5 linked regions of the Macaca mulatta genome follow. The protein of the gene in region 2 interacts with the protein of the main gene of each other region in a biochemical or structural test. Links are inferred from orthologs where the notes say so. Each region holds a gene or a part of one and is shown on either strand. Other genes may lie near its edges. The genes, in order: PLCB1, GNAQ, RIC8A, RGS4 and GRK2.

Region 1 (6,297 bases), on a different chromosome or scaffold from region 2:
CAGACTTCTCAGACAACTTAGTCTAGCCATTATTTTTCCGTGTTAGAATATGCTTGTAAGACAAAATGTGCAATGTAAAATTATATACACATATATCCATACACATATATGAAATTTAAGTGAAAATAAACTTTTGGATTATTTGTAAACTGACTTGCTGTAGAGAGTGGGTTCTGCTCTAAATTACGTAGACTTATTTTCCATGAAACACGTGGATTTTTAAAAGAAGGTAAGAAACCTGATTTTTCTCCAAATTATAAAATATAAAATCAAAACACACATTAAAGGGAATGGAAGTAAGGTCTGAATTTTTCCACAAGAAGAATAGAAGAGCCATAGAACACCTACTAACCACCTTGATAAAATTCACATCCATCTTATTTCTGAGGGACAATAACTTAAAAACATGTTTTATGGAAGGTTGCCTGTATATCAGGCTTTTTACAAAGCAATGTATATGCATTCATTCATCTAACCTCAACAGCTGTTCTATGAGTTAGGAAATATTACAATTTGCATGTTACCGTTAAGGAAATTGAAGTTGGGATGCATTACGCAACCTGCCCACAGTAAGATCTGAATTTGAAAGGTAAGAATGAAGAAACAGAAGGAATAAACAAATGAAAGCCCTTCCATCCCTCAGAGGTTATGGGACAGTGAGACAGAGTGCTTAAGCATGGAAAACAGGGCCAAATCAGTGGTTGGAGGTCCTATTGTACAGTTTACAGTCGTTCCTCTTTCTCTCCATGTCCTGTCCAATATAGACCAAGGCCAAGGTCCAGAAGAGAAAGGAGTTTCTCTCACAATCTCCCAAGCTCCCTAGCTTAGATCAAGAAAGTAACTCTCCTTCCACTGTCTACCTCACCAGAATTCTTCCACAATACCCACAGTCCTTAACACCCACCTCCTACCACCAGAGCCTGCTAATAGACAAATGCAAAACAAAAGCAAAGATACGAGGTTGAATTTTTAAAATATCATTAGGTCAGTGGTTTATCTTCATGCCAAGTTCAGGAGGACAAGTATAGCCTTGATGTTCAGACCGTATACACCATGAGTTTTAAAATACTGAAATAGTCAAAAAAAACCCCACCTACCTATCCACCCATCCACAGACCCTGGGGACTCCCAGACCTCCTCATGATCAAGCAGCAAAAACATTAATGCCTGGCCCTGGTACAACAGGGTATTTCCAGGATCTATTACGCACCTGCTGTCTGTTGTAATTGTTTAGTGCCTATGTTAAAGCTTTTGACTACCACCCTTAGAGCATCCACAGCCTCACCGTGACTTAGTAGGTGGCCAACAAATTATGCATGGCACTGCACCCTCTGGGTGACATCTTCCATTCCATATGGTGGTCAGGACAACAAGACCAGTGATTATACTGCTTTAATCACTTCAGGAACAAGAGATAATTTCTTCACATCCTAAACAGCCCCAAATTCATCATTTTTGAATGTCCTGTAACATTACCACACTTTTACACAAGCAGCAGCAAACATACAGAAAAGTTAAGTGATTGGCCTAAAGTCATGTAGCTTACTGGTGAAACAACTAAGAGGTAAACTGAGGCCTTTGATTCAAGATCTAGTTCTTTTTTGTCTTCAACACACTGTCTCACTAAGGTACAATATAAATAGCCAGATAACTTGAACTGGCTTGATTCTGTAAGGGCAAATATGAGCTGAGAAGAGTAGATGAGGGATGCCTGGGGAGGAAAAAGGCAACCCTAAGAAAGGCTGGGTCCCTTGTAGTCCACTGATCAGCATGAAGACCCAGAGAACCAAAGAGCCTGCAGTATAGCTCATTATATTCCAGATAACTTGACTCCTGAGTGCAGTCTAGGTTTTTTTTGTTTTGTTTTGTTGTTTAAAAAAAAAAAAAAAAAAAAACACCTGAGATTCTACTGGCCTTCTCCTTAGTGCCTACGTCTTTCCTTCCAGGAGGGCTTCCTTGGAAACTCATTGCTGCAATGCTCAGAGGGAGCTCTTTTCAACTTCTTCTTTGGTTGGTATTTCACGAACATCCTCTCTATTACCCTCAATGCATCACCCAATCTCTCTCTCATTGGTGTTTTGATGATTTTTGTCTCCTCCACCTAGCATGTAAGGTCCACAACAGCAGGGATTTTGTCTACTTTTTCACCACCCCAAGATCCAGTCTAGGATTGGCAATAATAGGTGAGCAAGAAATACGTGTTACAGAAAGGTACATAATGAAAGTCATCTACCTGGATATATCAAAATGTGTTTTCATAGAATACTTTCATTCTCAACGTGATGTTGGCTATTTTCTCCAAAACAAGAAATTATAGAGAATTATTTAAAATACAGTTTAGAATCATCACTGTATATAAATCCAGAGCTTATGCTGAAACTCCCTTTTTAAATTCTGCAAAGTCTCTTTCTCTTCCTTCTGCCCTTCACTCTCTTTCTCAGTAAATCCGTCATCACATCACCTCTCTATTCAAGGATCTCAAAATGGGCAAGACTGTCTTATTTATTGCTGAACTGCATTTTCTTTGTCTTTTTTTTTTTCCCTGACACAAAGAATTTAATCTGCGTCTGAATTTATTGTTTAGATTCTATTCCATTTACAAAAACATTCAGTCCAATTAGACTGGAACAGAAAGAAGAAAAGTGTGAAGCCCATGGTAAAAAAGATGTATGTTTACATCCTTGCCTACAGCATTTAATAATTGGCATGAGCTTTCAAGGAAGCTGTGGTTCATACTCCAAGTTCCATTTGCGCTTCCAGCTGGACAAAATATAGACACAGACGCACTCAGCTAAGTAATTGGATTCACTACCTGGAATATTTAAATTGTTTTCAGACACTGGAAAATGGCTTAAGAAGATTAAAGAAAAATACCCTAGAGAATAACAGGCTATAATTTACTAGGTGGAAAATCTTTTCGGCAAGAAGAACGCCTCATTCTCCTATAATTCCTTCTGATTAAGAGATGTATTAGTCATTTGGACTTAAATTTCCTTAGAACCTGGCAACTCGGATTTATTTCGGTAGGTTTTTCTTATCGAACCTTTTGAATGACACCCAGGACATAAAATTGATGCCATAATGCTCTCCATCAGAAGATTCGCATGTTTTCAGCTGGATGACTAATTTATGTGTTTTGAAGACAACTGGGGTAAAGGGGAAGGGGAAGTCATTTGAAGTCGTGGGGTCTGGGCTGCACGTAAAGCATTAGAGACCCTGGCGCTGGGCTAGGCTCTGCCCTACCTGGCAAATGGTGCAGGTAAGTCCTGGGGCAACCCCTCAACGTGTCTATTTCAGGCAGAAGACTCCAATCAGCTCAGTTCTCAAAAGTCAGCCCTCTCCACTTGCCTGCAGGCCCGTGAGTCCTCCAGGACCCCTCAAGGGCCCCCATTCTGTTCACGCCCTCCCCAGATGTGTCCCCGCAGCCCTTTTCAGGGACCCTCACTCCGGAGCCAGGCGCTGAAGTTTGGCATCAACGACCACCTGTTGGCTGGACCGTTGTGTCCTCCGCCGCGTGGGCTCCCACAAAAGCGCTAAGAGGGTTCGCAATCACTAAGTGTTGTGGACTTCAGGCCCTTCCTTCTTGAAATCGGGCAAAAGAGGTAATAGGGGGTGCGTCCGCAGGCAGAGAGGGACGCGACTTGTTCACACCAGGCGCTTTCCAGTTGGTCTCAACTTCACACTCCCTACTTCGCGAACTTTCAGGACCTGTCACCAGGCAAAGCTTGCCCCTCCCTCTCCACTGGCCCAAAAGATTTAAGACCCTCAGGGGGCGCTTGCCAGACCCAGAAAGGATGGCAACTACTAAAGCCCGATAAAACAGGAGCGCGCGCAAAGCTTCTGCCCTTGGACATCCGCTTTGGCAGATGCCAACCTGTGCGCCCGAGGCGGCCCCTGCCCGCTCCCAGTGCGCCCATTGCATAACGCGCCCCTCGCCCCACCCCCACGACGCCCGCCCTGCCCGGTGCCCGAGCCAGCGCCCCGACTCGCGCCGCCCCAATACTTACATCATCCCACTTGACGAATTTGATGCCCTTCTTGAGGCTGTCGGACACGCACACGGGCTTGAGTTGCAAGGCGTGCACTCCGGGTTGAGCCCCGGCCATCTGGGCTCATCTGGGCTCCGGGCGGCCCGGGCGAGCGCGGCAGGGACTGGGAACCGCGCGCGGGGCGCGGGGCGCGGGCTCCTTTCTCTGCTCCTGAGGCGCTCGACTCTTCTCCCCCGCCGGCCTCCCCGGCCTCCCGGCCTCCGCACCTCCCTCCGGCGCCGCTCAGCAGGCAGAGCGCGCGGGGGCGCAGCGCCGGGCCATGCCCCAGGCGGGACGCGAGGTCGGGAACCCGCGGTGGATGAGGAGCCTCGGAAGGCGAAGAGAAGCCGAGCCGGGCAGCCGAGGCTGCCAGTCGCGGCGGATTCTGCTCCTCCGCCGCCGCCGCCTCAAAGCGCACCATTCAGCACATCCTCTATACACAGAGGGAGAGAGAGAGTGACACACGCCCGGCGCCCCCGCTCCGCGCTCTTTTCCCTCCTCCTTCCTCCTCCCCCCACCCCCTTCCCCGCCACCCTCGCTCGCTGGGTCCTTCCTTCCCCCCGCGGCTCCCAGCCCAACTTTGCACGCTGGGTCAGGCGCCAGGAAGCGGGGATGCAGCGGCACCTCCTGGCTCCTGAGCCCCATTGCAGCCAACGCCTGCCTCCCGCATTCGCTCTGAGCATGCCTGGTGCCCTGGTTGCAGGGGTGTTAGGGGTCCCCAGGAGCCTTACGCTCTTTGGGGTTTTCTTGGGAACTTGGGCTCGAGTTCCGGAGCGTCTTTGGATCCCAACCGGGTGGGAAAAGGGACCCATTCGGAGGAACCGGAGGCAACCCGCAGCTTTCAACTGTAGCTGGAGCACTCCAGCGCCGGCCACAAACCAGCTTTTTTGAGAAAAGAATTATCATTTATCAGCAGAGACGAGCGCAGCTGAGAGGCTCTTTGAGGAAACCTCGCCACGGCTGAGAGTTTGCAGCGCGCTGATCTTGAAACCTGGGCAAACGGTTACTTTGCGCTTTTGAGATAGAAAGCCCACCCTAAAGAAAGCAAAGGTTTTATTTTCCAAGGAAGAAAGAGGATCCCCTCTCCCGCGCCTCTCCTTGAGTATGTAGGATGTGAAGCGGGTCGGGGAGAGTCTTACTAATAGAAACTTGCTCATTTAGGAACGTAGGTCCAGGAATGTTTGTCTTCACTCCTTCCACAAACATTTCTCAATTCAAGCACGGGAGGGAGGGAAGAAGGGAAAGAGGGGAACCAGAATGGATAAAATTTTAAAGACTGATAATACCAAATGCTTGAAAGGATGTGGAGCAACTGGAACTCTCGTTCATTGCTGGAGGGAATATAAAATAGTAAAGCCACTTTGGAGAACAGTTTCTAATAAAGTAAGATATTTACTTATCATACAACCTAGAAATTCCACTCCTAGGTATTTGTGCAAGAGAAATTAAAATGCAAGTCCACAGGGATTTGTAAAGTGATGTGAATAACTTTCTTCTTAGTAGCCCACATATGTCAATCAACGGGTGAATGGATAAACAAACTGTGGTATGCCCAAACATTGGAATACTATTCCACAATAAAAATGAGTGGGCATGCAAGGGCAGGGATGAATCGCGACTTTAAGCTTAGTAAAAGAAGCCGGACACGAGCATGATTCCATGTGTAGCAACTACAGAACAGGCAACATATTCTATGTTGACAGAAAGCTTGCCTGTGGCCAGGGATAGGTAGAGATGGACAGGGAAGGGCTACCAGCACCTGTTGAACATGTCGGAAATGTTCTATATCACGTGTGTATATTTATCAAAACCTGTACGTTCTGTAAGTATGCCTAAATTGAGTGCAGTTTGTTTTAAGTAAATTATATCTCAAACAGGTTGATTTTTTAAAAGAAGAAAGACCATGAAGAGAGAAAAATGGAGAGAAACACTACTTTCTCTTAATTCTTCATTCTCCCTGTTCTCTGCCCTCAGGACTCCAAGGCCCAATGTTTAAGAACTCAGTCAAAAGATTACCAAAATCCAATACAGAAAATTGCTATTAAATATTTCAATGCATTTAAAATATACTTATTGGTAGCCAGCTGTATACTAGCCACTATTGTAATCACCATGGATAACCTGGTGAACAAGACCCATGATTCCTGCTCATTTGGGGGTCTTGCCTTGTGCTTGGAAGCCACTTGCTACAAAGAATTTCATGAAAAACTGACTTGTTTCATTTTGATCACATGTCCCTAAACTAAAACCTGAATAGTCCACAGTCCCT
Region 2 (6,190 bases):
ACTCCTGCCTGGGCAACAAGAGCAAAACTCCATCTCAAAAAAAAAAAAAAAAGAAGACTGGCCTAAACTTTGCCTGTTTCAATAGCGATAATTCAATCAATTAAAGGGGGTTTGCTAAATCCTATTTGATAATTAAGATCTAAAGAGTAAAAGACTTCAAAAACATGTAAAATAAGAACAGGTTAATAGGAAAAAAATGTTTCTTCTAGGAACTGAAAAAAATTTCAGGATAACTATATGTAACATGAAGCAGGCATTCAAGGCCATTTGTATTACACAGACTTACAGACAAATTACATTAAATGAGGTTATCTACGTACCACCAATAGAAATATTTAGTGAATATTCATGAAAATTAATCAATTAAAGGAAATATGTGCTTTACACCTACAAAATACACAAAAACATTAACCAAGTAAAAATGAAGTATGCTCTTGTGTATCTACATTGAATGCAGAGACTAAGTTTTGAGTGTCAAAATAAACACTAATATAAATGAATTCAAAGAATGAGTAAGTTAAAAGACAACAAGAAAATAATTCAAAATTTAATGTAATATTCTTATAGTGGTAGATTTCAGGGTTCACGTTTCTAAAGTTAAAATAAAATATATAATATATAAGCATATGGAATAAATTTGGAAGATTAGCACAGTTGCCGAATATAAATCAAAATAGCCCAAATTTTACTGCCATACTTTCATCTAGTCAGGTACCTACTACTTGCCTTTTTAAATGTCTCCATATTATTAATATACAAAAGTAAATAATTGTATGAGCAAATGCAAGGGTACCCACTTTTATCCCTGTCAAACAAATCCTTTTCCATTAAAATGGCATCAAGTCTTGAACTAAAATTTACTTTGAAAACAATTTTATACTGAATTTCATTTCAAAATACAGTTATTCCTCCATAAACTGGTTAAAAATATTAGTAGATCTTTAAACTGTGAATGGATACATTCTATAATCTCCTCTGGACAGGTTTTGTTTAAATGATAGAAGGAACCAGAACATTCAGTCTACTCATCAAAGCAGCAAATCAGGAATTCCTCAAATGAAATCCTTCCCTAATATCTTCCTTGTTGAAATCAACCATCCTGGATTCAAAAACTCCTGAAATCACACTCATACACACACATGCACGCACAAATCCACATTTAGCGTACATTACTATATAGTGTATTGTGGTATTTATGTTGCAAAGGCAACATACCAAGAACATGAAGCAGTAACAATACTTGCATGATGTTCCGCGAATAAGAGGAAAAAAAAGTTCTCCACACTACCACCACTTTAGCAGTAAAACTGGTTTACACTTTTTCTCAGAAAATTATCTCCAAGTTCATTTTTAAAAGCACAGTGTTATTTAAACACACAGTATGGAATTAAGCATCCATGTAAGTGTATTTCCCTTAAACATTCAAACCTAGGCCCATTGACAAACCGGTTCCCTGGGCTTCAACTCTTAGCTGCTGGGAAACTCAGAGCTGTCACTTTTCAGGCAAACAGGGTTGGCTGGAGAGACCTCAACTGCCCAGTTCACAGTTAAACAGAAACAAAGACTGTCAACAGGGCAACAGAAGAAACAAACAATTCTTAAAACAAGTCTCTCTAAAATACGTGCTTTTCCCCTTAATCATGCACTTAAACACTCTACATATTTCTTTTGTTCTTTATTTTCTTCTCAATCTTGAGAACTCAGAAAACATTCCACTGCCTGTTTTCAGCCATTAGAAGTAGCTCAAAATGAGAATTTAAAAAAAAAAAATCTTTACTTTCCAACTGCAGTTTGCCTCCTCCCTGGCTTCATTCCCCTAAGCCCACCTCTTTCATCTAGTGTTTCGCCTTCAGTTCTTTATAAACATGTGCCCATTTATCTGAGTTTCAAAATGAAGACATAAAGCATGTCATGTGAATTAACTATTAGTAACTATGTGTGTGATCAGTATATTTTGCTCCTGCTTGTAAATGATACAGTACATAAGCAGTTCATTCCCAAAGGCAATTGGTTCCTTGAGCCAGCAAATGGAATGCTCAAGATAAGAAAGAAAATGCATGCTTCTCAAACACCAACTGACAGTACAATATTCTTTTCTTACAGAAATGTTTGAGAAACACATTTATTATACATGCAAATATCCAGAACACAAGACATTTTTCAGGCCTGTTACTGCAAAGCTGTTTGCTCTTCCCACCACAATAGCTCAGGGTTCTGTCACTGTGGCTTGTATGTGAATCCTGATCGCTTGATTCTGAACATCCTCTCTGAGATAATCATCAATAAATTTCTATTTGAGAAATGGCATTTTCTTGCTAACTTAGAGCTAAAGCAGAATTTTTTTTCAAGACTAGAGGAAAATTTTTCCTGTATGCTTCCCGTTTTCCTTCTAGCCCAGATTCCAAAGATATTAAAATGCTATGTGTTTTAAACAAAAGGTTTCTATTTGTTGCCAAGAGAGTAACTGAGAGACTGCACTGGTTTTCGGCAGTAACTATTGTGAATTCAGGCCTACATCTGGGTTGCCTCATTAAACAAAAGATACCGGTCGCTGTCAACAACCACACAGCACAACACTCCCCTACCCTCATCTTTATCTAGAAGCAATGGTGCAGACGAGAATCACGCCTGTCACCATCCACTAGCCAAGAAACTCTTCTAGGCTCCCTCCTTTCGATGGTCTGGTGGCTAGAGAACAGCACTTCTGTGACACATTTGGGCTCGCCCTCCCGCCCCGCCCCCAATACACAGGCCCTTTCCTTGGAGGGCCAACCACTTGGCTTCCTCATCATCAGTGCTCCGGGAATCCAGTTGCGAGTCTGCCCACCGTTCCCCCATTCCCTCCTGACCCCAGAGGGCACTGATAATGGATGCACACCGGCCACCCCACCGCAGGCCATCTCCCAACGTGCCCCAGCTCCGCTCGCCACCCGCTGGGCCACACACACGGCTCCCCGCGCCACCACCCCATGGGATGCCGCGGCCACGACACTGGAAGTTCAACCCCTCTGCCCACCTTTCCACCCCCGCGCCTCTGGCCGGAGTGATCTGCCATTTAGCAGATGCACAGCAGATAAGGCACAGCCCTCAGGGACCCAAAAAGAAAAAAGCCGAGACACCCGGCAGGGCAGCCGCGACCCCTCTGCTGCGTGTGTGTATCTGGGTGGGTGGGTGGGTGGGGGTGTGTGTGTGTGTGTGTGTGTGTGTGTAACGCGCCTGCGTGTGTGTATCTGGGTGTGTGTGTGTGTGTGTAACGCGCCCGCGCGCCCGCGCGGGTGAAGGCAGTGGCCGGGGGCGCGCCCGGGAGGGTAGGGGCTAGCCGGGGGCGCCGGGGGGCGGGGGACGCCGAGAGGGCAGCTGTCCCGCAGGGCCAAGGATGGTGGGCTGGGGGCGCAGAGGCCCGGCGGGGCCCCGGGCGGTACTCACCGAGCAGCAGCAGCTTGAGCTCCCGGCGGGCGTCCCGCTTGTCCCTGCGGAGCTGCCGCTCGATCTCGTCGTTGATCCGCCGGGCTTCCTTGGCCTCCTCGCTCAGGCAGCACGCCATGATGGACTCCAGAGTCATTCTTCCAAAGTGCCTCCGCTGTAGCCCCGCCGGCACCCCCTGCTCACAGCGCGCACACACACCCTCCCGCCCTCGCTCCCCCGAGGCAGCGGTGGCCGCCGAGCCCCCGCCGCCCGGGCGCGCGGCCGGGACGAGCTCCGGGAACCGCCGCGGGGGCAGCGGCCGGAGCCGGAGCCACCAGGTGGGCCGGGGGCGCGGTGGGAGCGGATGGCCTGGGCCGACGGGAGAAGCGAGGCGGGCGCGGGAGGCGGGCGCTGGCTCGGGGGGCGCGTGAGAGAAGGCCGCCGCGCCCGGCCTCGCTCAGACGCCCGCGCCTCCTTCCCCAGGAACGGGCGGCCCGCCTCGCCCCCCGAGCCGCCGCCGCCGCCGCCGCCTGTGAGGCTCCCCTACGCCGTGCGCCTGGCGGCGAGAGCTCATCCACCGGGGTGTCCCCGCAGCGAGCGGCCGCCGACGGCTCCCCGCGCCCGGCGCGCCCGCTCCTCGCCGCCGCCTGACACGGCTCCCGGGCGCCTTCGGCCCTGTCCGCGCCCACCGCCCGGCTCGCGCGCAGACCCGGTTCCCGGCCCGCCCGGCAACCGCGCGCTCCTCCGCCTCCGCCTCCGCCCCCGCCCCCGCCAGACGCCCACCCCCTGCCCCGATTGCCAGGCGCGGAGCGGCTGCTCAGTGCGCGCCCTCCCCCTCGCCACACACACACATTTTCTTCTTTCTCTGAACTGGAGCACAGATCCGGGAGGGAGGAGGCGGCGGCGAAAGGAGGAGGGGAGGAGGCGGAGGGGACGGGCGCGGGAGGAGGGGAGCCGGGAGGCGGTGCCGCCCGGCCCCTCCTGGAAGGCTTTCCTGGGCTCGCGGCCGCCGCGGCGCGCCTCCCAGTGCGGCTCTCGCCTCGCCCGCGCGGCTCCCGGGCTGGGCCGGCTCTCTCGGGCTCTGCGGACGCCCACTGCTCCCGTACCCTCGGCAGAGCCCGCTGGCGCCGCGGTCACGGCCGCCCCCGGCCGCCGACGTGCAGCCCGAGCCGGCGGTCGCCGCTGCGTGCTAGGACCGCCGCCGACCTGCGGCTGCCGTCCGGCCGGGCGTGGTGAGGCGGGAAAATGGCGGTCTCTGCCTGCCTCAGCCCACCGGCCCGGGAGCGCGGCCGCGGCCCCTGCTGAAGTCGCGGGAGGCGGCCCCGCGGAGCCCCGCACGCGCTCCCTGCGGCGCCGGCGCTGGCGTCCGCGGCTCCCGCGCTGTGCCTGTGTGCTCCGCGGGGACGCTCCTCAGCCGCTTCTGTGTTTCCCGTTCCTATTTCTAAAACGCCATTCGGTTAGAAACTCTCGTGTCACCTCTGACCCCGGTGCAGTCTTAGAAAATAAGATCCTCTATACTGTGGGGGGCAACTGGGGAAGGGAAGGAATTGGCACCGGTGCCCGGAGGCACAGGGGGAGATTCACAGGCGAAGCTGTCCGCAAAGTAACGAGAGATAGAAATCTAAATCCTGAGCAGAGAAAGGAAGCTGCCCAAGTTTCCCAGCCTCCCGATAGGTTCCAACTTTTCATGCCTTTGTTTTTTTGGTGGTGGTTGGTTGTTTCTGTTTTTTTTTAAGTTGTTATTGTTTTTGTTTCACAAGTTCTCTTGTTTCTGACAAGGCACACAATGTTTAACCGCCGAGTAATCGAATTTACCCTTCTAGACTGAGATTGAATTATGGATGACTTATGGGAAAATGTTAAATAATATGAAATAAACGGAAAGGAAACAATGAAATAGAAGAGAAACTAAGGTGGCCCCAGCAAAGTGGCATTCTAGTTTTTTTGGTTTGCAATATTTGATTGAGGCAGTTAAGTGTCGTGTGCATATTTCATTGTGATCGTCTGCTGATAAATAGCACACGAAAATAATCTCGTTCAATCAGGTCCAGGAGGTGAAACTCATACTGCTTCCTGCCTTAAAGGAATCTGAGATCTTCAAAGAAAATTGTCTTTTATGACGAGAACCGCTTTTTCACGTTTCATGTGTTCTCTGAAGTGTCCCTGGTGCAACCTGCTGATCCAGAGTGTAAGGTATGGTCATGACTTTGCTTTTGCTACAGATCAAGAATTCATATAGGGTTCTTAGACAACAGGTGTGTAACTTCCTTCTTTCTTTCATTTGCCATTACTCCACCCTTTCACACACATACACACACTCTAAACCAGAATTTAAATCAAGCAAGTCAAGATACAAAATGTACATTTTAGGTTCTCTCTTTAAAACCTAGAAAATAATTAAATTTCACCTTGGCCTGGAGAGCAGAGAGGGCAAACCTCAACCCTTGTATGTGAATGCCTACAAAGAACAGCTAGACTTGCAATGAAATTAAAATTTAAAATCAAGTGACTAAAGAAATTAAAGATTGAAATTCAGTGTGCAAAAATAGTAGCTTCAGGAGAAAAAATTTTAAGTTTGCATCCTCCTAATATATGTCTGTATATGAGCTTTGGAGAGACACAAAACAATGAAAAACCAAGTGACAGAAAGCTTCAAGTGTCTGGTTTCCTACCCAAGGATCCTCTGAGACTTTCAAAAATGTCTTTTAAAATGAGTCATCAGGCTATCAGGTCATCTGTTTTTACTGAGTTGTCCTATTATTTGATGAATTTGCCTGTTTCAGCA
Region 3 (4,547 bases), on a different chromosome or scaffold from region 2:
GGGGGAGGTGGACGAGGTGAGCCCTGACCTCAACCCATGGATGGGTCTCAACTCAGCTCCAACATTTCCTGGACCTGCTTCCCACTGGGTACCTTCAGGTTTCTGGGTGTCAGACATGGAGAGAACAGGACCTCCCAGCGTGTTGGGACAAGGCCAAGGAGATGCCAGTTCTGGGCTGGGACCTTAGGGGAGGATTCTGAGGGAAGTAGAGGCCCCTTCTGGCTCTTGCTGCCTGGCAGGGGGCTGTGTGCTCTCCGGGGAGACTGTAAGAGATCCTCCACCATGAGGCTGTGAGTGGGGCTGAGACAGAGTGTGACTTCATCCCAAGGGTGTGTGTTAACATTCCTAATCAGGGACGTGCTCTTAGAAGAATACTCATGGAGTTTTTAGGAAGACAGCAGTGGTCATCTTTTGCCCCCAGCACTAGCCAGAGTCACCTAGGAGACCCCAGGGGACCAAGTGTGCAGTACAGGAGGTGCACAGTCATTGCCACACAGTTCTGGAGTGCAACAGACAGTAGAGCCTCAGCAGGCAGCAGTGGGATGAGTGGGGCTCCTCACAGGAACCCTTCTTTCTTTGGTCAGGAAGACGCTGCTCTTTACCGACACCTGGGGACCCTTCTCCGGCACTGTGTGATGATTGCTACTGCTGGAGACCGCACAGAGGAGTTCCATGGGTGAGGATGGGGCTTTTTCTGGGAGGGAAGTGTGTCCACATGTTTAGATGGTCATCCTCAGCCCTGGCCGTGAACCAGAACCACCTGAGAGCCCAGGCCCCACCCTAGAGGGTCTGACTTTGTCTGGGTGAGTGAGACTGGACATCGGTGTGTTTCCAGAGAATACTGGGTGCTTCTAATATGTGGCCAGGACAACAGCCATGAATTTGGGGGCAGGAATGTGCCACCTGGGCCTTGGGTAGTGGCAACAGACAGTGTGGTATTTACTAGGGCACATTGGCTCCTTGTCCCCATTCTTGGTCCACCTGCCCCTTGGCTGGTGTGGTTTCCAGAGATGGTCTGGCACTTTGGCCCAGACAGGGTAGGGGAGGCAGGGTGTCTCAGCCCCCACTTCCCCAGGGGACCCCACTGTACAGCTGAGTGGCAGTGCCTCTCAGATCAGTCCCTGCCCTTGGCTTTGGTCCCCAGTGCCGCCCCTTTGGGCCTCAGACGCCAGCTCATGTAATGTGTGGTTCAGTGGGGGCACAAAGATTGCATCTGTGCTGAGGGATTAGCCCTATTGAGACCCCCACCTCCATCTGTCAGCCACGCAGTGAACCTCCTGGGGAACTTGCCTCTCAAGTGTCTGGATGTTCTCCTCACCCTGGAGCCACACGAAGACTCCGTGGAGTTCATGGGAGTGAATATGGATGTGATTCGTGCCCTCCTCATCTTCCTAGAGAAGCGTTTGCACCAGGTAGGCTGGGGATGGCTGTACAGGCTCCCCCAGTGGCTCTGGCACTGGTTCTCCTGCACAGCTGTGGTCAGTGCTTCTCCACTGGCCACATTGGTAAGTGGAAATCATCTTGGTGGTGTGATACAGGTGATTCTTCCGGCTGTTCTGTGGTCCAGCCTGGCAACAAGCTAGACCCTTCCTTCATGAGAAGCATGTGGACACCTTCCACACACTTGAAGGTTTCACTTCTTAAATCTTTGTGGATCTTTATTGAGTGGTCCTGAGAAGCCCCCAAGTCCCTGCTTTTAACTCTCAGACACAGGCAGCCCTTGACTACAAGCATAGCTGTCCCTCAACATCCTGAGGAGACCCATAGGAACCTCAGATCAAAGCTTCCCTCTGATTCCTGTGACTGCACTACAGGGCATCTGGATAGCTAGGGCTCTAACCATCCTCCAGGAGCTTGCAGAAAGCAGGCTGGAGCACAATAAACCGAGATTTAGGAGACCTCTCGGGAATCTACCTGCCTAAGCAGGGGACACACATGGTGCGTGAGAGCCAGTCAGGGTAGGGAGCTGGCACTGGACATACAGCCGGGGGGTTGTCTGTGCCTGTCGCTGTCGCTGCCACTGCTGGTGCTGGGGTCCAGGCACATTATGCTAGGAGGGTCAGGAACTCCCTGCTCTCTGTCCATGAAGTACCCAGAGTGGGGATTCGGTTCTCGTTTCTTTTTGCCACCAACATCTGAGGGCAATGTGTGTGCCAGTCTAAAGCTTTAATTGCTTTGTGTTTTCTTCCCAGCCCTGGTTTATAGTTGAGGTAATTAGACTTAAAGCAGTTATTTCTCCCAAGTCACCAAGCTTACAACAAGTACCTCTGAGTGAAGCTCTGTGCCCGTCCTTTTCAAAAGTGACACAGACACCCACCACCCACTCTTGGCCTTCTGCTGACTAACTGCAGAGGGGCCTCTTCCCAAACCTGTGCCACCAGGACCAGCTGCTGTGTATGTTGGTGGGAAGGGGCGGTGGGGGGTGTAACTCTGCGCCAGTCTCAAATTAGGCAGGAGCACAGCCACGGTGACAGAGGCTCCTCTACAGACACACAGGCTGAAGGAGAGCGTAGCTCCCGTGCTGAGCGTGCTGACCGAATGTGCCCGGATGCACCGCCCAGCCAGGAAGTTCCTGAAGGCCCAGGTATGAGACTGAGGAGCTGGCACTCCTGGGGGATGTGGTTTCGGCCCTGATCACAGACCAAGCCCAAGCTTAGGGACGGCCACCTCCCCAGGTGCTGCCCCCTCTGCGGGATGTGAGGACACGGCCTGAGGTTGGGGAGATGCTGCGAAACAAGCTTGTCCGCCTCATGACACACCTGGACACAGATGTGAAGAGAGTGGCCGCCGAGTTCTTGTTTGTCCTGTGCTCTGAGAGTGGTGAGTTATGGAGATCCGGGTCCCAGCGCCCCCACCTCAGCCAGGCTTGCACACTGACCTCTGCCTTGCCCCCCAGTGCCCCGATTCATCAAGTACACAGGCTATGGGAATGCTGCTGGCCTTCTGGCTGCCAGGGGCCTCATGGCGGGAGGCCGGCCTGAGGGCCAGTACTCGGAGGATGAGGACACAGACACAGACGAGTACAAGGAAGCCAAGGCCAGGTGTGTGCCCCCAACACCCCCTCGGGTCTCCACTCAAAGCCCCTAGTCCCTGCTTCGACATCCATGTGGACCACTGTAGGGTGGGACAGGATGACCAGTGGGCAAGACCTTCCAGAATCAAGCACCTGTCCCTAAGTGCTATCTGGGATACCAGAAGGTGGCAGGTGGCAGTTGCTGGTTACCAGTGCCGCTTCTGGAGGGAGGCCTCTTCCTGCAGTTGCCTTGCCCACCTCGCCCCACTGGGAAAAGAGGTGGCTTGCCTCCTGTCCTGGAGAGTCACTAATGCATTCCCCACATTCCACCTGCTGGGAAACAGCATAAACCCGGTGACCGGGAGGGTGGAGGAGAAGCCGCCTAACCCTATGGAGGGCATGACGGAGGAGCAGAAGGAGCACGAGGCCATGAAGCTGGTGACCATGTTTGACAAGCTCTCCAGGTGTGTGGCATGATGAGGAGGGGCCTGTAGCTGGGAGAAGAGAGAGCTGACCCACATCCTGTCTTGTGAGCCCCAGGAGGTAGGATCAGAGGAGAGCTTAGGATCCTGGTGTTAGGTTGCATTGCTGATGTTTGAAATCACTTGCCCTAGAGGAAATCCCCCCAGGGGATGGGTGTATTGAGATCAGTATTGTGCCCATTTTACAGATGATAACTGAGGCCCAGAGAAATTAAAGAGACTGTCTAAGGCTGGGCATGGCAGCTCACGCCTGTAATCCCAGTACTTTGGGAGGCTGAGGCAGGTGGATCACAAGGTCAGGAGATCAAGAGCATCCTGGCCAACATGGTGAAACCCCGTCTCTGCTAAAATACAAAAAAAAGTTAGCTGGGCGTGGTGGTGGGTGCCTGTAGTCCTAGCTACTTGGGAGGTCAAGGCAGGGGAATCACTTGAACCTGAGAGGCAGAGATTGTAGTGAGCTGAGATTGCGCCACTACACTCCAGCCTGGCGACAGAGTGAGACTTCGTCTCAAAAAAAAAAAAAAGAGATGGTCTAACATTGCTACACTTATTGGAGATGGCCCAGTGTCCAAATGAACAGACTGCTTAAGACCAATTTAGATGTCTAAATTAAGAAACTGCTTAAAGCCATGAGGTAGCAGTTAGGATTTGGGCCCAATTAACGGAAGGTCCAACCAGGCTTCCCCCGTAAATGAGAGCAGCTTACTTGGTGAAGAGGAAGGTAGCAGCCAGGGGTGAGCAGGACCCCTGCCTGGCCAACTGGGCCCCTTCCCCAGCCCCATTGCACCTTTCCCCACAGGAACAGAGTCATCCAGCCAATGGGGATGAGTCCCCGGGGTCATCTTACGTCCCTGCAGGATGCCATGTGCGAGACTATGGAGCAGCAGCTCTCCTCAGACCCTGACTCGGACCCTGACTGAGGATGGCAGCTCTTCTGCTCTCCCATCAGAACTGGTGCTGCTTCCAGAGACTCCTTGGGGTTGCAACCTGGGGAAGCCACATCCCACTGGCTCCACGCTCCTCTCTCCATCTTAGAAACCCCTTCTCTTTAC
Region 4 (6,235 bases), on a different chromosome or scaffold from region 2:
TCTTGACTTCCTCTTGGCTTACCCTAGAAAAAAATAGAGAGAAACAGAATAATTGGAATGTCATGATAAAAAATTGGGGTAAGAAATCTAAGATCCCGAATAAAGGCAGAGATTTTATTTTCCATCATTATGACAAAATATGTTATTGATGAGGGCAGTTTTTCACTAAATGTATAGACATTTCAAATGTAGTTAAGATCTCCATGAAAATGGAGGCTATCTTGATCCAAATCTGGCTTAACTAGGAGCACAACTTCCCTCTTACAGAACATCTCTATCATCAGATAGTTAATACTCAGTAGATCTTCACCAAGGCCTTTTCTCTTACCTCTGGCAAATAACCACTTTGTCCTTCTTGTTGTGGGAAGAATTATGTTCACAGGAATCAGATTTTTGCAGCAGGAAACCTAGCCGATGTTTCATATCTTTTGCACTGCACAGAAGATAAAAATAATGAATAAATAGTGATAACCAGCTTTCTTTAAAAGATACCTAATGATAGAGCTTGAAGAGTCCATTACTAGTCTATGGCTCAGAGACAGTTTAGGGAATGGGAGTTGGAGTTGGCATGAACTCTCAGGAAAACAAGATTCCTCTTTTGGTTCCCTACGACTTGCTACAAAACCTTGAGGCAGAGTCGTAACACTAGTTCCTTCATTCACAACTGGAATTCTGACCCTTCAGTTTACCTCAGAAACCTCAGAAGCCTTTATATGCCTGTCATTTTGACCAACAGAATACCTTTGGTATCTTCAGTAGAACCTGAATCACTGAAAACATGAGTGATCTCTGAGTAATTTTTAGGAGTTGGAAAGCAGTAGCGGCAAAAGATGCACATCCTTGCTGCACGCCACCTTCTGGCAGGTGATTGCTATTTCCATCTGTTCCCCTGCAGGCAGAGGGAACTGTAAAAGTCTATTCAGTTCCAGTCATGTATGTGGGGGCCACGCAGTTCCTGCTATGAGGTATAGAGGAAGAATACACTGAGGTGCGCAGCCCCAGCAGAGGGAAATGGAACATGGGACGGTGAAAGCAAATGCCCAAAAGCTGAAACCTCAGCCCCTTGGGGCTTCTTTCCAGACAGTATCTGCTGCTGCTGCTTTCCTTTTTAATGCTACTTTAAAGGACATACACACTCTAAAGGGCATTTGAGGCTTAAAAGCTATTAGGAGAAGCAGGCTAGAGTCATCACTGAGCTTCCACCATTTATTGCCACCATTTAATAGGTAGCCTGGCACAATAGGGCTCCTGACTAACTAGAAAAAGGGGGTCTTTTAATAAGCCTTAAGCTCAACTCTCTTACTTTTTATTAAATATCCTCTTGCTTGCATCTCTTTTATTAAAAAGGCCAAGAAATAATTTAAAAATAGAAATACCATTTTAAGAGAAATGAATAACTAAATGTGTCTATTTGGAGTGGGGAAAATAAAGCCTCAAAGACAGAAAGACATTTAACATAGCCCCTAATACATTTATGTATGTAGGTTTTCCCAGAAAGTTTGAATTCCATTATGTTCTCTGACTGCCCCTTAAATAGTATTTTCTCTTCCTTGCAAGATTACTTTCCTTCCTCTGCTTCCCTGACTGATGACTGCTCAGGGGATGCAACATCTTTTTTGATGATAACAGGATATAATCCTGAATGTTAGGGTGATTCCAAGGTGATAATATAAGTATATCATGAAGTCCAAATAGAAATGAATTCATATTTCTATGTGCTGGATCCACCTGAGATCTGAGAGTTGTTGATCAATGCAGGGGCTAAGTGTGCTTAGCAAGTATTCTTATTTAAAAAAAAAAAAAACATAAAAATAAAAACCAAAATGACTTCAGAAGTTATTGGAGTCAGGAAATCTAGATTTGGTCCTAATTCACCCACCAACCTATGTGACCTTGAGCAGGCGATGGCTCCTGTGGAGCCTCAGGCACTGGTGGCAAAGATGTTGGACTAGACGATTTGCAATTTACTGGTGAGGAAAGGGAAGGGCAGTTCATTCTGCTGACATAGAGTTTACCTCCTTAGATTAGCTGCTTAACTCTTTGAGGACAGAGCTCTAGTATTAACTTTTATCTGTTTTGCAAAATATTTACCAGGACATAACTTTCTCCTGACACTCTTGTATTTTTGTATAGTTCATTTCATATGTAAGTTAACTGAAGCTTGAAGTAATTTGCTCCACTCCATTCAGAAAATTAAGCGTGAAGGTCAGAGGAACTTATTTCATAGATACTCTCTGCCAGACCCTCCTGCTTCATTTTAAAGAAGCCATAGATACTTCCATACTCCTGAATGACAGAATATTTGAAAAGTAAATGTTTTAATAGTACATAAAAAATTATGTTTTCTGAGACTATTTCCAAAATAAAATTTGGGGTAATTTCTATTTGCAGCGCGATAAGAAAGCAGGTAGTATACCTTTAGATTGACTTTTTACCTTTAACTGCAAGATTAAGTAATGTAATATGCACTCATTTTGTGTTTAATTTTCAACTGACTACTATACGATCATTCTCTGAATGCATTTGTTTATACCTTTTTTGAACAAACGAAAAACAAATGAATAGCTGTATGTCTGTAAAGTCTTTTTAAAAAATCAAGAGAGTATATTAACAAAACAATATCTTTAAGGTGAGATCTACAAAACTGTTAACTGATTTGTAATGATCAATACTTCTCAACCACACTCATATAAGACACTTTAAGAACTAGAGATGGGGCAGAGAGATAAGGAAGATCTGGCTTTGGAACTCATATCTTATTGTAACATTTGCTTATAAGAACATAGAGAGTGAAAGATACTGCAGCACTACACAGAAAGCATAGTGCCTTTCTGATGATGGAGCCAAACCTCATTCTGGGGTACCTTTCCTGAAACAAGATGTAGCATACAATCAGAAAACCCAGACCCAGGCTTCTATGTACTCCAGGGATGCTTAAATAACAGCAGTAATCACAGATGGAGATATTGCAGACCACTATACATAGCCTCAAGCCTCATCTCACTTCTTAATTAAAACTAGCTTGCTTAGACCTGGCTTAAAGAACAGTTCTCAAAACTGAGGTCACATGAAACAATACATAAGGACTGAAATTTGGGGAGCACATGTCTTAAGTCACAGTATCTAGCTAGTCTTGGAGGAAAGTTAGAAAGTCGTGCTCTCCTGACCACACTGTTTCTAATTGCACAGAACTAGGTTAGTAAGTACAACATGTAAATAACTGAGAAAGTCTATCCAAAAGTTTAATACGGTTAATGACTGAAAGCAATCTTACCTCCTTAAGCAAGAAGCCGGCAGACCTGCAAGCCCTTTGCACATCTTATTTAACAGCTTGGGATTCGCAAGCAGGAAAGAAATGCGGCAGGAGGAGCTGTGGCTTCGGCTTTGAGCGTACTTTGCCTCTTCTCCGGTAAAGATATTTTCAGAATCCTCTGAGCGTCTTCCTCCTAAGCCTGTAGGGGTCTCTTTTATAGCCCAGCTACGACGGTCCAGCCAATCAGACGACAGCTCTGCAGTACCAGCTCCTCTGTCTCCCTCTGCCTCTCCAGCCCCTGAAAGAGATGAGGAGGAAAAGACTGACGCATCAGCAATGCTAAGTGAACGAGCAGAGAAAATCCTTCAGCAAAGTAGGGATATGGAAAAAAATGTACTCAATGTCTCTACCAGTGTCAGAGGTTTAGAATTTCTAGAAAAGGAAAAAAGTGTACAATGCTGCAAAATATAGTATTCATTCATATTTCTGTAAAAAACAATATCAAGGAAAGTTGCTTCCTGGAAGGAAAAGTACCAGCAGGAATTCTGAAGCTTACTTAGGAGCTGACTCCCAGTGCCCTTCCTCTTTTGGATTAGAAGCATCATATGATACATGGTCCCAGATCTGATCCTCACGATTTCCAAAAGGGAGCTGGCAGGATCATCGTCTCCACGCAGTGATTTGCAGAAGTTGCCTTGGTTGTTATGCAAACAAGAAGGTGGAGAGAAATAGCTGGATGACAGACAGTTATAAGCCCGGCTGCATAGAGAAACTACCCTAGGAAAAATAGATTTGCTATATCCGTAATCAACCTGACTGAGGAATACTTTTCTAGAAATCTTGGTAACAACAGAATTCAGCCTAGCACTGACAGTTTCTCCTTTACATGCCTGTGTCCTGTAAAAAGTCTAAACCAGCAGCTTGAGGACCAAAGGAGGGAGTAGGTGAGCAAATATACACAGCAATTCTTATATCAAATGGGTTTATGTCTTATGTAATTCTAAGTCTCCAAACTGATATTTCAAAAGATAAAGAAAGAGGGATGTAGAGAGAAAGAGACAGAGCAGGCAGAAAAATACGTAGTTTGCTTTGCGTATCACCAGCCTTAAAACGAATCGTTAAGAATATTAAGCCCTATAGGTGTTTCTGAACACCTGAACAATTAGTATCTTTTACGTACAATATCATAAACTGAAACGCCTGCATGGAGAGAATCATTCAGGTGTTTCACATCTTATAGCCATATATCAAATACCTACACCAGAGTTACAGAGGAAAGCTATAAGTGGAAGAAGAGAATTAATTGCTAGATCTGACCAAAACAGCTTTCATTTTGAGAGCAGATAGGTTCCTGATCATAGGCTACAGTGAGCTGTACTTTATATTTAAGAAACAGAGGCATCAAATGGTTTAGGTGGAAGAGATGAAAAATAGTTAGGTTCCAGTGAAATGCAAAATACCAAAAATATAGAAAGAATGTCACAAAGCAATGCCCATACATGGCCCGACCCAATACGTGCCCTTGAACATCCCACACTGCTCCCACTACCAACACCTTCCATGACTAGCAGAGCAAGGAGACAGCAGACAAATGTAAGGTGGTGGAGGGACCATAATCTACCGAAGATGCATTTAAATTATAGGAAAAAGCCTCTAGCCGCCCATAAAGATAGAAAGACATTTATTAGAGTAGATACTGGGCAACTCTTCCTTGAATTATAACATAGAACAAGTGAATGTTGACAGCCATTCTTGATGGTGGTGTGGAAGGAACTGCAGTGCAATGTGAAATTAGGGAGGCCCTTAGACCAAGGAAGATGGACCAGGGAGAGGAATCAGTTGGAACTGACATTAAAGAGGACACACTAATTAAAAGGGAAAGAAGGTCACTCAAAGAAAGACCACAGCCTTCTTTGTTTACATGGACACCTAAAAGAGTGATCACTCAAACAGATTGATTTTAGGAACATAAGTGAGGACCCGAAAAGGTTTACTGATGCCTGAAATTCCACAATAAGAGCTTTATCTCTTGGACTTAGAATAAGAGAAGCCTGATTTGTCATGAGTTAAATATAAATCACTGCAATAGATGGGACTTTAAAGACAAAATGGGACTTTAAAGGCAATGTAGCCTAACGCCCTTATTTCATCAAAAAGGAAATAGAGACCCAGAAAGAGAAAGTGGCTTGCTGAGGTTACAGCTTCTCACTAACAGAGCTGGGTCCACATACAGGTGTCTCGATACTCAGTTATGTGGATTGTCCACCATGCTACCCTATCACTCAACCGTCTTTTCAAATGAGATAAACTATGTAAATAGAGATATTTCTAAACTACAAAGTGAAGTGCTAATCAAATAATTTTTATCATTCTATTATACACAGTATAGAACATAAGCCAAAATTAATTTTACATATTTTATTCAAGGAGTGTTCACTTGCCCAATTTCTTGCTCTGTGAAAGCAGGAGTTGCTGCAGACCTCAATGTGGTGGTTCCCTATTAAAACCAGGTCTCTAACTTTGTGCTTAGCTCATTACTCTGTTCAGGCATTTCATATTTACTCACTTCTTTGACTATTAAATCTTGCTTTCCTAGGAGTTTTAAAACTTTTTTAAAAGTGTTTGTAAAATGCTTCACATGAGTTAACTTATTTTTTCACTGTGGGACTTGCAGATTGTGTTTGAGGAGGCGAGGACTGGTACATCATGATACCTTGACAACCTTCCACTTTCTTTCTCTGATATGCACAAAGCACCAAATTCTGTTATTCTGTGATTTGTCATTCCTGAATGACTCTGGTAGTGTGGAAGAGATTTACTCTCAAAAGATCTACTTTTTATTTATGCATTTGTTTAAGAAATATCTTTTGACTACCTAGTTTGTGTCAAGTACTCTTTGAAGAACTGTATTTAGCATGGTGAACAAGCAGACAAAATCTCCACTGTAGTAGAGTTTCATCCCAGTAGAAGGAGTCAGAAAAC
Region 5 (6,279 bases), on a different chromosome or scaffold from region 2:
GGCTGCCACTGTCACTGGGGAGGGCAGAGGAACCTCCTGGGAGCGCCCAGGCAGGGCTCCTCAGCTAGGAGCCCAGAGATTAATTACACCAGGCCTCAGTGGTCATATCAAGCAAATGATGAAAATTACAAGACTGCTGGCTGCCGGGAAAGGGAGACGGCAGTTCCTTCAGGGCAAGGTCCAGACCACAGACCCTGAGAGTGAAGGGGCAGCCCCCTAAATTTACCAAGGTGGAAAACGAGGCAGGCCCAGTCAGGCTAAGGGACTGGCCTGGGTCCCATGTGGGCTGGTGGTAGAGGGAGAAGCCAGGTCTCCCATCCTCCAGATACACAATGCTGCCTTACGCTGCCTCCTTCTAGAAGAAGGTCGGGGAAAGGGACTGTTTCCTCGGATTCTATAGGGTGACAGAAGGGGAGGCCCCTGTACCAACTCAATGTGGCACTGTGCCTAACCACTCCCATTCCCTAGGCATTGGAACTCAGAGCTGTGATGCCAGCCCCAGCTCTCGGCCAAGCCACATCCCCAGGCACCAGCCATGGAGGGACTGCCAAGGTGGGCCACCTCAAGGTGTGAACAATTCCCAGAGGCACCCTGTCACGGGGACAAGCCACAGCCCCTCTCCCTGACTCTGACCTTGACCTTGGGGGTATGGGGAAGACAGGCTCCTGCATCTGATGGGACCCCGGAGTGGAGCTGCCCCTCGAGGCAGTAGCTTTGCCAGGGCAGCTCAATTCTCCATCCCAGCCAACAGGAAGGGGGCTGAGCCTTGTGAACTGTGACAGCCAATGGCCCCAGACAAGCGGTGCCAGTCAGCCCACGCCGCAAAATGTGGACAGGGGTGAGAACAGTGGTGTGCAGGGGTGGGTGGAGGGGATAAAGCACAGCAGAGAAACAGCACTGGCCTGTGTGGTCCAGAAACCTGAGGCCCCATTCCAGCTTTCTTCTGTGACGAGAACACGACTCCTCCCCTCCCTGAGCCTCAATGACTTCAACTGCTAAAGGGGAGAATCCCATCTGCTGGGCCTGCCTCCCACAGTTGTCAAAAGGACAAAATGGAGTAAAAAGCACTCTGCAAACGGAAAAGTGTCGGGCAAACATGAGACGTGGTCAGGATCACCATCGGGGCGGCGGGGGGTGCGCTCTGCCCCACTGGGTGTGCAAGGCAAGGCATTATGCAAAGGGTGGCTTGCTCCCTAATGCCCCAGGCCTGGACCCCCATGTAGGGGTGGCCCATAGCCCTTCCCAGGCCTTAGCACACTGACATTCGGCGCTCGCACCTCCAGTCCATTTCACAGATGTGGGCAATTTGCGGAAGGCCATGCTGCTGATGGTGACCCAATGTGAAAACCTGGGCTGCCTGGCTCCGCCTCCTGCTGTCCTCCTAGAATCCTATCCAACCTTGTTTCTGCTCAGGACTGCCTGGGGCGTCACACAGTCCTGGTATTTCTTGGGCAACTACTACATGCAAGGCATGGCCTTGCCAGCTTCACAGGTTGGTTGAAGAATTGAGAGGACAGATGTCAAAACAGGTAAGTCAGTAATAACTCCTATCATTATTGCTATCATCGCCATCACTGCTGTGGATGGGAAAGGGGACAGGAAAAGAAGAACATCTCGTTTCTCCGGGTTCTGACACCTGCAGAGCCAAGGCGGCACCCCATCAGAAGCAATGCATTCTGGGGGGAAAAGTACACGAACGCAGACAGTTCCAGAAAAGGTCCCACCTCACACATTGCCGAACTCCATCCTGCAGGAGGGTCTCAAAGCTGCGGCCACGAAGGAGAGCCGTTTTGAGCCCTAGAGGCTGACTCCCCCATTTCCTCCCTCGTGGGTTTGTCATTTCTGAACTCATTTCTGCACTAACCGTCACTGCTCCCTGGACAGCCCCCAGCTGACAGTCAGTCTGGTTCCTGTTTTGAGAAATCTGATTGCAAATATCTTAGAAAAAAAAGGCCCTAACGGCCTTTTCAGAATGCAGACCAATTTTCCTCTCCCCGGCCTGACGTTCAGTCAATCCAAACACCCAGTGAGCAGGGCATGGCAGAGGGGGCCGGTGAGGGCCATGGGCATGGCACCCCTGCAGCGTCAGCCCAGGCTTAGACAGACACTTCAAAGGCTGAGGGACATCACAGAGTCACAACTCTTATTTCACGCCATCCACATTTCACAGATGAGAAGACTGAGGCCCAGTGAGGGAAGGGACTTGCCCACAGTCACAAGATAAGACCACGGCAGTGTGGACAGGCCCCATTCCCAGCCTGCTGGGGCACCAGGAGGCTAACTCTCAGGCATGCACGAGGAGTTGCCACACGACACAAAGGACCGTGGCGGGCACATCTGCTCCCTGGCGCAGGCCAGGGCAGCCAATGAAATGTAGAACCGGAAGTCTGAAGCCCTGATCTGTTGGCCAGGTGCCACCTGAGACTACCTGTGTGACTTGGCGCAGGCCACTCACCTCTGGAGCTTCAGTTTCCCCACCTGTTCCACAGGGACAAAACCACACCTGTCCTGGCCACCCCATTCGCTGCTGAGAGGCTCACACAGTGGAGAGATACTCCATCAGCCATAAAGAGCTGGACAAACCGCAGCAATCGTCCACATCCTGTGTACTTTTGCACCTACATCCTGAACAGTCTAAACTTTGATACCAGGTGTGATGTCAGTTGTCTTACAGGGGCGGCAGCTAAGGTCCAGCTGTTGCCAGTGTGCTGGGAGGGCCCCTGGTCAACAGCACCCACCGGGCACCATATGCAGTGCACGCCCGAGAAGGAATGTGGGGGAGAGGGCACGGCATGTTTCCCCCACCTGAGCGCGGTCCGAGGGGGAGGGCGTCCGCAGCACCCTAGGTCCTGCTCACCACGCCGCCCCGAAAGCACTCTCAAGCCCAACTACAGGATAGCGACTCCACCAGAGGGTGGGAGAAGAGTCCGGAAAACTGGCTGTCCCCCCACACCTCACACAAGTGTAGACTGGAGGGGAGACGGGTGGGGGTAGTGGAAACCCCAAGGCGGGTGCCGTGAGCAGGGACAGCAAAAGGGTGGGTGACATCGTCAGGCGAGGTAAATGGTGGCCGGCGGAGGGGAAGGGACCCCACAGGGACCAAGGGCTGCTCGGAGGAGGATGAAGGGGCGCGCCGGGCCCCTGTGGGAGAAGGCGGGAGCTAGGGGCTGACAGCGACTGGAGCGGGGGGCCGGCGGAACGCGATAAGGAAGCAGCAGGGCGGCCGGCGGGACCGGAGCGGGCCCGGGGGCCGAAGGGGCAGAGGAGCTCCGGAGTTGGGGCGCTCCGGGCTCAGGCGCCCGGGGTCTGGGGCTTAGCGTCTGGACCCGCAGGCGCCACGGCCGGGCTGCTCCGGGCTCGGGGGCCGACAGAGGGTCGCGAGAGCCGGCCCCGGGGGTCCAAGTCGCGGGGTCGAGTGTGGGGCCAGGGTCTCGGAGTCGCGGCCGGGGTGCCCGCGGGGTCGGGCCGGGGCCGCGGGCGACTTCTCCTCACCTGGGCTCGGGCAGCAGGATCTTCTTGCTGGCGCGCGCGGCCGGCGTGGCCTTGCTCTTCTCCATGGCCATCAGGTAGCTCACGTCGGCCAGCACCGCCTCCAGGTCCGCCATCTTGGCGGCGGCGCTGCCTCCTCCCGCCGCCGCCGCCGCCGCCGCCGCCGCCGCTCCCGCTCGCTCGGCGCTCGGCCCGGTCCGGCCGCGGCTCGGTCGGCCTGGGGCGCCGACGCCTCCCGCCTGGCCCCGCTCGGCGCCCGCGGCTCCGCTCGCCGCCGCTCACAGGCGGCGCCGCCCCATGGCGCCGGCTCGGGCCCGGCCCCGGCTCGCGCTCCGCTCCCGCCGGGACTGCAGTCGGGGCGCCGCCGCCGCCGCCGCCGCCGCCCGCGCGCCCGCGCCCCGGAGCCGCCGCCGCCTCCGGCCCCGCCTGCCGCGCACAGCGCCAGCGAGCCCGCAAGTGGCCGAGCCGGGCGGGCGATGGTGCCCCCTGGAGGCCGCGCGGAGACCTGCGACAGAGGGCTCAGATCCTGGCGGTGACCTCGGGTCTGGACGGAGACCCGGGCCTGGAACAAGACAGGGACCCGGCACGGAAGACGATCCCAGACCCATTCCTTGACCACAACCTCGGGTCACATCTCTGAATCCCAGGCTCTCCAGTCAGGCCGTGGTCCTGACAACAGACATGATCACAAGGAACCTGGACGCTCACCAAGACACAGATTCAGACCTCTGAACACCACCCCGGGGCTTTCATCTCAGACCCTGGCTATAACCCCAGACTCCCTGACCTTTGACGCAGTCCACGACCTGACACCAGACTCCAAACAGGACCCCAGACTCAAACCTTTGCCCGCCACCTCAGACTCTAACCATGACCTCAGATCACAGCCCTGGGTCTCCAACGCCATACCCAGACTGTGACACTCACCCCAGACCCCTAACAGTTCCCCAGATCCAGATTTTGGACCATGACCTCGATCTCATCCTGGTTACTGACCCCAACCTTGACTCTGACCCTAGGCCACTACCATGACCCTGCATCCTAGACTTGGGGTCAGGGCTCAGACCTAGATTGGACTATCAACTCCAGACCACTGTCCTAGGCTCAACACCCAGAACTGTGGACACAGACTTGGGACTAGGACATCTAACCTGGGACCCACATTGGACCCAGAATCCTTAGTAGGTCACCCAGAACCTGGGATCTGACAACTACAGTCCAATTACAGCCTTCCCCCATCCCCGATCCCACCCCTCCTACTCTAGAACCAATCCTGGCCCCTGCAGGCCCACTCTGGATCAAGTACCCTACACCCAACCCCACCCCCTAACAGGCTCGTAGACCCAGGTCCCTGGCCAGCACTCTTGGCAGCTCCCTTCCGTGTACCCCATCCCATCTAGACGCTCCTTCAGGATGGTTCCACATGTAGGGTGAAACCTCTCCCAGCCTGGGAGGGCACAGAGGTTTCAGTGCTGCCTGGTAGGGGAAACCCACCCGAGAGCCCACCCAGAGTGAGGAAAGCCAGGTGTCTCAAGGCAGCAGTCCTATCTCAACATGCCCCTCTCTAGACCCTCTCTTTGCTTTTGAAGTGATAGGACCCTCCTCCCAGCCCTGGGCACATAGAGCTCAAATCTCATTACCATGTTGTGGGCCAGCAACCAGGATCCTTTTGCAAAGCAAGGCTCCCATCTCTGTGCACTTCTAGGCTACCTTCTTGGATCAGTCCCAACAGAACCTGGAACCAGAGCATATCAGAGCTAGTGAGGTTCTCCTCTCAGTGAGTGGTGAGCCCCAGGTTTCTTTTCCCTAACTGCTCCTTCATTTTCTCCCCTTCTCTAATTTGTCACTATAGTCTCCTGTCTGGCCTCCTGAGAATCTCCTTGAATCTGTCTACTTCTCAGGGTCCTATGGCCAGCCACTGCCCTGATGCAGGCCCTGACCAGAGATGCCTTTCCCAGGTCTAGATCTGATGGAGTCACTGCCTGCTTGGCACCAAGAAGCAGCTCTCCAGGCCTTCTGGGGCTACTGAGAGTGAGAGACCTAGAGGGGTCTCTAGGACTCACCCCACTCTGCCCAAAGCAGGTTAGGTGAACAAACTCCTTAATCTGCAAGTCAAGATCTTGGAGGACTTGGACCTTGGATGCTCCCGTTTGTTTTGCTACCATCCTCTGCACCTGGAGCTCCCCCACCAACTCACCCACCCATTCTCACTTCTGTGCCTCTGCTGTTTCCTGGGCCTGGAAGCCCTTCTGTGTACCTTCCTCCCTGGCCAACTCCTACTTATCCGCTAAGACTCACCTCCTCCCGGCAGTCTTCCCTGACTCCCTGACCCCAACTATGTACATCTCCAATTCTACACTTCCCACCTTCTAGGCCCTATTTTCCATCTTCAGTTGCAAGATGCATCATTGCAAGATGCATCATTGCAAGTTTTGAGAGTGGGGAGTGAAGTCTCATTACATATCTGCATCAATTGGAAAATGCATCGTGATGTTGGAAATGCTGTTATATATATTTAAAGAGTACATACTGTCCCCCACTGTCACTGGTGCTCCTAGTTCATCCCTTGCTCCCAGTGCCCACCACAGGACCTGACTCAAAGGCGTCAATGTTTGAGGAGTGAATGAATGAGTGAATGAGCTGTTGGAGCACATGGGGTTTGGAGTGGAACAAGGCCAGATGCCACAACTTGAAGCCTCTAACCTCCTCTCCCCACTGCCCTGTCCTGACTCTTCTGGACTGTGAGCACAGCCACATGTCAGCCAGGGTTTTCGGGAATAACCTCTATTT

What was found.
Region 1: the proteins of GNAQ (region 2) and PLCB1 form a complex in vitro, tested with the Homo sapiens proteins (2 studies listed by BioGRID, with this or other methods). The link is inferred for Macaca mulatta from reciprocal best matches to the Homo sapiens genes GNAQ and PLCB1.
Region 3: the proteins of GNAQ (region 2) and RIC8A form a complex in vitro, tested with the Homo sapiens proteins (2 studies listed by BioGRID). The link is inferred for Macaca mulatta from reciprocal best matches to the Homo sapiens genes GNAQ and RIC8A.
Region 4: the proteins of GNAQ (region 2) and RGS4 form a complex in vitro, tested with the Homo sapiens proteins (3 studies listed by BioGRID). The link is inferred for Macaca mulatta from reciprocal best matches to the Homo sapiens genes GNAQ and RGS4.
Region 5: the proteins of GNAQ (region 2) and GRK2 form a complex in vitro, tested with the Homo sapiens proteins (3 studies listed by BioGRID). The link is inferred for Macaca mulatta from reciprocal best matches to the Homo sapiens genes GNAQ and GRK2.

What each region holds. Positions count from the first base shown.
Region 1 is NC_133415.1:75,849,481-75,855,777, forward strand, and holds the start of PLCB1 (1-phosphatidylinositol 4,5-bisphosphate phosphodiesterase beta-1), read right to left. Parts: upstream 4,113-6,297; 5' UTR 4,107-4,112; coding exon 4,008-4,106; intron 53-4,007; exon of another isoform or gene 1-52.
Region 2 is NC_133420.1:109,009,315-109,015,504, forward strand, and holds the start of GNAQ (guanine nucleotide-binding protein G(q) subunit alpha), read right to left. Parts: upstream 3,610-6,190; 5' UTR 3,563-3,609; coding exon 3,427-3,562; intron 1-3,426.
Region 3 is NC_133419.1:86,628-91,174, forward strand, and holds part of RIC8A (chaperone Ric-8A), read left to right. Parts: coding exon 1-16; intron 17-584; coding exon 585-676; intron 677-1,261; coding exon 1,262-1,412; intron 1,413-2,488; coding exon 2,489-2,584; intron 2,585-2,657; coding exon 2,658-2,820; intron 2,821-2,896; coding exon 2,897-3,041; intron 3,042-3,357; coding exon 3,358-3,477; intron 3,478-4,294; coding exon 4,295-4,415; 3' UTR 4,416-4,547.
Region 4 is NC_133406.1:20,799,371-20,805,605, reverse strand, and holds the start of RGS4 (regulator of G-protein signaling 4), read right to left. Parts: upstream 3,932-6,235; 5' UTR 3,868-3,931; coding exon 3,810-3,867; intron 3,552-3,809; coding exon 3,275-3,551; intron 434-3,274; coding exon 329-433; intron 24-328; coding exon 1-23. UniProt on the Homo sapiens protein: Inhibits signal transduction by increasing the GTPase activity of G protein alpha subunits thereby driving them into their inactive GDP-bound form. Activity on G(z)-alpha is inhibited by phosphorylation of the G-protein.
Region 5 is NC_133419.1:7,117,397-7,123,675, forward strand, and holds the start of GRK2 (beta-adrenergic receptor kinase 1), read right to left. Parts: upstream 3,948-6,279; 5' UTR 3,606-3,947; coding exon 3,493-3,605; intron 2,638-3,492; exon of another isoform or gene 2,456-2,637; intron 1-2,455. UniProt on the Homo sapiens protein: Specifically phosphorylates the agonist-occupied form of the beta-adrenergic and closely related receptors, probably inducing a desensitization of them. Key regulator of LPAR1 signaling.